Nothobranchius furzeri: one gene and its partner. The protein of the gene in region 1 purifies or fractionates together with the protein of each later gene. This does not show direct contact. Links are inferred from orthologs where the notes say so. Each region holds a gene or a part of one and is shown in the gene's direction. Other genes may lie near its edges. The genes, in order: pex1 and pex26.

Region 1 (3,816 bases):
ATATAGTTTATCAGGAAAAAAATGTTGTTTGGGGGTGACTTGCTCTTTAACCATAGGAAGAAGCAGCGTTTGTTGCCAGGACACAACGGAGCATGGTTCTGTTCCAAACGCCGTCCTCCGTAGAACAGACTTCCTGGTGTCTTTGCCCAGGACATACTTGTCTAGTAGGCAAGAACGGACTCGCGTTCTCGAGTGTGGAGAAACGGTCCGTGTCTCTGACAAACCTCACACCGACTTGCGTTATGTTTTGTTTTCCAGTATGTGCGATTATTGGTGTCCTAACCTCTGTGTGAGCCCGTAACAGTGTGCGTTCATTCTTTCTACTTCAGTTTTTAAGATCTGCTGTGGACCATCTTGTGTCTTTGACAAAGTGATTGCGTTGGGTTATCAAAGAGCCTTTTTGTACTTTAATCAGTAATAAATCCATAAATACCATACCATATTTATTTATAAAGCACCATTTCAAAATAGCATGGCAGCTAACCAAAGTGCTGCGCATAGAAAAGCCAAATGCTTGAACAAGAAACACAATAAGAACAGGCAAAATACATAAGAACAAAGCATAAAGAGTCGGAGATAAAAATTCCTACTAAAAACAATAAAATAGGAGAACAGTTAACAGCACTATAAAAAATAAAGTAATGTGACGAACGACAAAAACATTTGAAATGGCACAAATAAAACGAAATAAGCTACCAGATGGTGCGAGGTGCCAAAAGTGAGCAACTGAATCATAAAAACGGAATTAAAAAATCGAATCCGGTGCTGGATTGTCATGAAAAGTGTCACGGAGGGAAGGCAATGCTAAACAAGTGCGTTTTCAGGGCCGACTTGAAGCTGCTAACAGAGGGAGCCAGACGCACACGGAGTTCCAGAGTTCTGGGGCTGCATAAGAGAAGGCACGCTCCCCCCGTGATTTAGCATAGCACAGCATAGTTTATTTATACAGCACGTTTAAAATGCAGCATGGGAGCTGCCCAAAGTGCTGCACAGGCTAAAACAAAACACAACCATTACAAGGAGCTAAAACAAAGGATAAAAATCTCAATCAAAGGCAGATAAACCTTGATGAATACTAAAAACACATTAAAACAATGATACAATAGAACACTAAAACGAGTCACTGTCTAAAAGCCAAAGTGTAAAAGTGGGTCTTTAAACAAGATTTAAAAACCGCCAGAGACGGAGCCTGCCGAACTCCAATGGGCAATGAGTTCCATAGCTTTGGGGCAGCATGGACAAATGCTTGATCCCCCATGATTTAAATCTCATCCGCGGCGTGTACAGCAGCAAAAGGTCAGCCGACCTCAACGAGCGGGTGGGCACATATGGAGTGAGAAGGGCAGAGAGGTAGGGAGGTGCGAGGTCATTGAGTGCTTTAAAAACAAAAGTCAGTAACTTAAACTGCACTCTGAAGGGAGCCAGTGAAGATGTGCCAGGACAGGAGTAATGTGGCTACGTCGGTTTGTACCCGTCAAGAACCTGGCAGCAGCGTTCTGGACGACCTGCAGCCGATTCAGGGCAGAGTCCGGAACACCAACGAGGAGGGCGTTTGCCTTGTCCAGGCGAGAGGTAATGAAGGCATGTACCGAACCTTCGGAACAACAAGCAGCAGATGATCTGCTGGCCGAAGGGCACGGGTGGGAACATACGGGGTCGGCAGGTCCGTCAGATGGGATGGGGATGGGCGGTACAAAGCCTTGTAAACATAAGACCTTGAAGTTAACCTAAATTTGACTGGGAGCCAGTGTAAATCTGCGAGGATGGGTGCGAGGTGCATGCGTCTGTCGGTGTTGGTTAAAAATCTGGTCGCGGCATTTTGAACCTTCTGCAGTTTGTTTAAGGCTGAAGCATTAATCCCAATCAGGACAGAGTTTGCGTAATCCAGACGTGAAGTAATGAAAGCATGAATGACTGACTCGAGATCCGGGCGTTTGAGGACTGACTTAAGACGAGTGATGCGGCGGAGTTGGACAAAGCAGGACTTGACAGTAGCGCTGACTTGTGAAGACACTGTAAGGTCAGAGTCCAGTTTCACACCTAGGCTAGTGGCACGTGATTTGAGATTGAGTGGGAGAGCTGAGACGTCTAAAGCACCGCTCGTGTTAGTGAAATAGTTTTCCCAAACAATCTGTTTCCACTCCACACAGCGTCGCTCGCCCCTCATGTGCCCTACGGCCGCCTGGAGCAGTTCACAGAGCTCGCCGTGTCTCCGAAGATCCGCGCGGGAATCGGCGCCCTCACAGAGTCTTTTGAGAAGTTCAGCAACAGCCCTGCAAACCTGCTCCCATCCTCCTCGGAGGCGACAGCAGCGTCTTCCTCTCCTGAAAGCCGACGGTGGGGTGGCGTCGCTGACCTAAAGAGCCTGTTTCGACACGTGACGAAGGGCAGCTACGACCCGATTAAAGAGCAGCCTCCTGTTCCGAACGTTCCCGCCATCCTCCCCGACTCCATCTACAGAGTGTGCAGCACGCCGCCGGACGCCCTTTGCACCGTAAATCACGCCAACGCTGCTGCCATTCACACTTTTCCCTGGAGCTTCTGCTGGAACGCCGCGCCGAGAGGAGGCCAGTCAGCGGTCACCTACGGCCGCCTTTCCAAAGTCTTATCCCCCAGAGAAGCGAGAGACAAAAGTAAGCAGGCTGCGGAGAAACGGAAGCACGGCGGTGAAAGTGGCGCTTCGGAGGAGGAAGCTGTGGTGGTCAGGGTCGTGTGCCACTGCGCCGAGACGCAGGCGGGTCCCAACGAGGGAGGGATCCACAGCGGGAGAGTCTGGGTGAGTCAGCTGGAGCAGAACTATGAAACCATCATGCTGTTTCTACTGAGCTCCGTTAGGAAATCATGTCTCCACAGATCCCTCAGCCTCTGAGCAGCAAGTTACACATCCAGCCACATTCAACAGTGAGAATAAAACCAGTGAAGTCGACCATCAAAGTCGCCACCAGCGTTCACCTGCAGCCTCTGAGCCCTCAGGTGGGCGCCGGAGTTCACGTTTCTGCTGCTTTTGTACATTTTTGTGCTGAATTTTTCCTCCTCAGCCCGAGGAGACCGACGAAGAGATCCAGACGGCGTTCCTCAGCTGGCTGCACACTCAGAGCCACGAACCTCTGGCCTGTCTGACTCCACGCTGCAGCTCCGTCCTCCTACACGGAAACGACGGTGATTCATTTCTAAACTTGTGTCACGAGCTTCAGAAGAAACAGAAACCCACAGTTTTAGATCCAAGCCGTATTAAACACACCTCCATTCTAATTGTTTTTATTTCCTAACGATAGAAAAGCTGGAGCTGGCTCTGACGGTGCTGCACCCGGAGCCGCTGAACGATCCTCCCGACCAGCTTTTTCTTCTGGCGCCCACTGTCCTGCAGAAGGGAGACGTACAGGTGCGTTCGTGCGTTAGAGCTACAAACTTCCTGCAGACATTTGGAAGGGGCTTGCCAGCTGGGGCTTGAGATTGTAGGGTGTAGGAGGATGGTGTGACAGCCTCCTGCTGCAGCAGTATCAATAGGCCCGGTTCCACTATGGGAACATGGGTAAAACGCCATTTTTTTGCAGAAAATTTTGAATACCTTGTTTCAGGGTATCTGCAGGTCCTTAACAAGTCTTAAAAAGTCTTAAATTTGCTTTTCCAAATTTAAGGCCTTAAAAATCCTTAAAAATGACAAATAATCCTTAGAGTTTCCAAAGGTCTTAAATACCCAAAGACCCAATAAACAAGATTCTTTTATTTCTATAAAATTTTCGTGAATTTCTAGTTCAGTATTTTTTGTGTACGATGTTGGCGTAAGCGGAACCGTACACATTCGGTTGGTTGTGA
Region 2 (4,536 bases), on another chromosome or scaffold:
TGTCTTGTCCATGTCCATCTTCCCATCTGAAACATAAATGAAAGGAAGAGCTTAAGAAAGCAAGCAGGTATGAAGCAAAAAAAAAATAAATAAATAAATACATTGTTACAATCCACAAAAACGTAAGAAATAACCACCATTCCTCACCATCCTCCTTTTCTTCCTCCATTTCAACATCCATCTTCTTTATCTTGTCAGCCGGCACCACTGTGGCGATGTCCTGTAAGTCAGCCATTTCGGCCTCTCCTTTCTTGTCCAAATTCAGAGCTTGTTTGAGTCGAGCAAGCTCCTTAGGAGCATTTTTCTTTCTCTTCTCCGCTCGCATTTTACGCTTCCATTTGCTCCTGAGGCTTTTAGCCATTTTTAAAGATGCTTTAGAAAAACAAGAAAAAAACGAAGTTAAACATTTGTATAGAATTAATCAAGTAACACCAAAATATTGATCAAGCCTCTCTGTTTCTGTTTTAGTCCTCGTGATTTACTGCTGTACTGAGTTTGCAGTTCAATTCAATTTTAAATTGGCATCAGAAGCTCTTATGTACGATGTTCCACAGGGTTCTATTCTAGTCATGATTTTATTTGTCCATCACCTGCTTCTATTATACAACCCAATCACTACTATACTGATTATATTCAGATTTTAACACTCATCCGTCATTGAGTTTTCCATCAGATAGAGGTGTATGGAATCTACTAAACTCTGGTTAAATGATAACTTTCTCCCAGCTGGAAAATAACAGAGGTTCTCAACATGGTCTCAGATTACGGGCCACTTACGTTTGTTTGCCTCGTACATTCAACCTGCTTTTAAACACTTGTGAGTTTCTTTTCATAGTAATGTGTTATTTTACTCTCCATTCATCTCATTTGTTCATATTTAACTTCAAATAAACCCAACTTGCTTGTAATTCCTTAAAATAACTTAATAATTTTTTAAAAGTTATTTCGAAGTTTTTTAGGTGATAGATGAACGTTTATTTGAAACCAGTCTACTAAATTAAAAGCAAATATGCTAAGAAAACAGTGTTTGAATGTGCTTAGGTCGAGTCTAAACACAATACATTTGGACTAAATACAGTACGACAAGAGTAAATTAAATGCAATACATTGTTATTAGTTTAAAAATTTACTATTTAAACTTTAAGCTGCCATTTAAACCCGTTAAAACTACGCTAGCTAGCTAAACGATACAGTAAATATTTCCCCACTCTACTTGTTACGGCAGTAAAAACCCGCGTTAAACGCTCCCAAACATCACACAGTAATATAACACGTGTATGATTTGATATGATATTATGATATGATAACAACAAAGTGTTACTCACAAATAGCTCAACGTTTTAGCTTAGAACGCGTTGCTCCGTGCACGTGTGTACAGTAAAGAAGCCGTGACGTGATTGGCTGTTAAGGACGATCTGAAGATTGTGACATCTGATTGGCTGGTGATCAAAATCCAGGAAGTTCCGGTCATCTTGTGTAAATAAAATAATGAGAGTTTGTTCGGTAGCATCTGCGATATTACCGACGTAGACTGACATAGTATCATAAATATATTTTAAATTTATTTTCTTAAATGTCTTCTGGTGTCATGAGCAGCTGCTCAAACGGCAGCTTTGGTTCGGATTTTAGCCCTCCGCCGCCCTCCTTATCTCAGATGTTTAACATGTTGGACTCGGCTGCAGAGCTCATGATGGTCCACAGAGACTTCCACGCTGCTTTAGGCACGTGCAACAGAGGTTTGGAGAGTCTCGCGTGCATGGAGTTGGAGGAGAACAGGTTGGTGACATCAAATCACTTCACAGCTGCTATTTTGTGTTGTTAAATTTGAGTTTAATAGCCTGTGTTGTGCGTTTTCCTTCTACAGATGTGAAGAGTTAAAGGCCGCTTTCTGCATGTTGGGTGTTCAGGCGCTGGCTGAGCTTAATCAGTGGCATGGTGTCTTCTCCTGGGTTCTGCAGCAATATGAGCACCTGGAAATCATACCTGCAAAGATAATGCAGACATGGTGAGAGAGAGAGAGAGAGCACACTTGCCTAGATATGTTGAATAGTATGAAAACCGTAAAATCCCAAACCTTTTGACTGAAAAATGTGAATAGAATCATAAATTAGTTATTTGTGATTATATAACAAGCCCTGCATTCAGTTCAAATGAGTTCAAACACAACACAAATTAATATTAATGGATTAGACCCAAGGACCCAAAACACTTTAAAGATAATCCATCATATTCACTCATTCATTCACACGCTGGGGTGACGGTGGGTCAGGGGTCAGTTTCCCTGTAACCAGTGTGTTACCGGTTCAAACCCAGTCTTTGTCCGTCTCTCAGTGTGCCTCAGGGCAGCTGTGGCTAGAATGTAGGTTTTCACCATCAGTGTGTGAATGGGTGATTAACTGACTGACTGCAGTGTAAAGCACTTTGGAGTCCTCTGAATCTGAAAGGTGCTTTTCGAGTCCAGATGATTTATCATTTATTCCCATTGTGGTGGTGATTGTAAACTGCATACCAGCCACAGCCACCCTGAGACAATTTGACAGAGACTAGGCCACTATGTTGCACCACTGGCAGGAAAGGCAGATGAAGTGCCTTGCCCAAGGGCACAACAGCAGCAGCCATCCACATACTCCATCTGAAAAAACTTCTTAGTGTACACATGATCATAAAGAGGAGAAAATATGTGTTAAACTTTGACACCCCCCCCCCCCCAAGACATAATCAGAAATTATAATGTTCTCTACTTTTTGCAGCATTCTCCTTTTCTCCAAGGTGGGCGAGCCTGCTGTGATGCAGGAGGCAACCAGAGTTTGGTTACACTGCTCCTCAAACGGCCAAGCGGCAGGTTTTCGTACTGTCGCAGAGCTTTATCTGCTGCACATTCTTCTGCCTCTTGGACATTTAGAGGAAGCAAGGGAGCTCATTTCAGGTGACGTTGGTAGGACTGCATTCACAGAAGACCAGAGACAAACTGCGCTGGATGTTGTGGAGGAAAAAACACGACAAAATGAGGAATTGTTTTTAAATCCCAGGAGCCCTCCAGACTCTGATGCTGCGGCACGTCCTGCTTCTACTCGAGGTCTAATAGTTCAGCCCTGTTCTTCCTGTGTGTATAATAATATATGACATAATCATAACTGTCTTAATGATTGTGTTCTGCAGGTACTGTAATGCGTAAACTGGAAGCCATGCTGAGGTTTTTGCATAGAAAATGCTTGATGACCGGCTCAGGCTCATTTCCTCTCCGGAAAGTTTTCCTTGCAGCTGTTCTTCTCTACATGCTTTTCCTCCGACTGGATCCAGGTTGGATGAAATTTTCATAGTCATACTTATTTCCTTTATAATGTTTAACAAGAGTAATCTGTGTTTTTCCCTTCAGCCCATCCATCTTCATTCATGTGGATTTCTAAACTTCTTACGCTGATCAGGCAGATGTGGAGAAGCATGTTTGCACCATATTATCAAGCTCTCACGTAGAGCAAAGGCTTGTAAAAGACACTGTTGTAATGTGTTTGATTAATTCATGTAATTCTCTCAAATCTGTTAAAAGCCACTTTTATTCTCTCTTCAACTATTATATTAGCTGTGACTTTATTTCCCCACCAACATATTTTATTACCTGGTTTGTAGTCACCGGTTAATCGACTTACCTGTTCATAAACTCACATTTACTTCACTGACCTATCCGTAAATCCAGACATCAGGATTTCTCTGGTTTTAAGTCACAAATCCAGTTTAGAGTAGAAAATAGTCACAGCCAATAAGAGAAGGCTGCTTCTCATTGGCTGGTCCTCCACAGAGGGGTGAGGGGTGTTGCTTCGGTTGGTCTAGAACAAAACACATATTGCATCATGAATGATAACCCAGGGTTACTGATGTGCCCTTAACCTCAATAAAAAATAAACGCCATGCATGGATTGTTCTTATTTTCTTGTCTTTTAAAGATGTTGGTTACCAATTTAATAATAATACATTTTATTTCAACAGTGCCCTTCTAAACACTCGACACGTTACAGACAGAGATAAAATACACAAAAATAAAAGATAGAACAGCATAAAACAAACAGACGGATTGGAGCAAAGAGAGTAACTATTGGAATGCTAGACGGAACGGGTGGGTTTTGAGTCTGGTTTTAAAGAGAGTGAGGGAATCAATGTTACGGAGGTCAGGAGGGAGTGAGTTCCAGATCTGGGGAGCAGAGCGACTGAAGGCCCTGCTCCCCATAGTGACCAGACAGAAAGGTGGGACAGAGAGGTGGATGGAGGAGGAGGACCTGAGGGAACGGGTTCAGGTTGAAGGATGAAGGAGGTCTGAGAGGTACGGGGGAGCTAGGTTATGGATGGCTTTGAATGTATACAGCAGAATTTTGAATTGGATTCTGGAAGTGACTGGGAGCCAGTGGAGCTGCTGAAGAACAGGGGTGATGTGGTGGAAGGAGGGAGTTCTGGTAATGATGCGGGCTGCCAAGTTCTGGAGAAGTTGGAGTTTATGGAGGGATTTGTGAGGAAGACCGAAGAGAAGAGAGTTGCAGTAGTCAA

What was found.
Region 2: the proteins of pex1 (region 1) and pex26 purify together in Homo sapiens (affinity purification with western blotting; 3 studies listed by BioGRID and IntAct, with this or other methods). This does not show direct contact. The link is inferred for Nothobranchius furzeri from reciprocal best matches to the Homo sapiens genes PEX1 and PEX26.

Annotation. Positions count from the first base shown.
Region 1 is NC_091759.1:22,190,353-22,194,168, reverse strand, and holds part of pex1 (peroxisomal ATPase PEX1), read left to right. Parts: intron 1-2,150; coding exon 2,151-2,776; intron 2,777-2,853; coding exon 2,854-2,973; intron 2,974-3,038; coding exon 3,039-3,159; intron 3,160-3,275; coding exon 3,276-3,382; intron 3,383-3,816. UniProt on the Homo sapiens protein: Component of the PEX1-PEX6 AAA ATPase complex, a protein dislocase complex that mediates the ATP-dependent extraction of the PEX5 receptor from peroxisomal membranes, an essential step for PEX5 recycling.
Region 2 is NC_091741.1:43,002,471-43,007,006, forward strand, and holds pex26 (peroxisome assembly protein 26), read left to right. Parts: upstream 1-1,443; 5' UTR 1,444-1,573; coding exon 1,574-1,776; intron 1,777-1,864; coding exon 1,865-2,005; intron 2,006-2,750; coding exon 2,751-3,076; intron 3,077-3,159; coding exon 3,160-3,300; intron 3,301-3,376; coding exon 3,377-3,474; 3' UTR 3,475-3,906; downstream 3,907-4,536. Other genes in the region: llph (protein LLP homolog), read right to left, coding at 1-26, 148-361. UniProt on the Homo sapiens protein: Peroxisomal docking factor that anchors PEX1 and PEX6 to peroxisome membranes. PEX26 is therefore required for the formation of the PEX1-PEX6 AAA ATPase complex, a complex that mediates the extraction of the PEX5 receptor from peroxisomal membrane.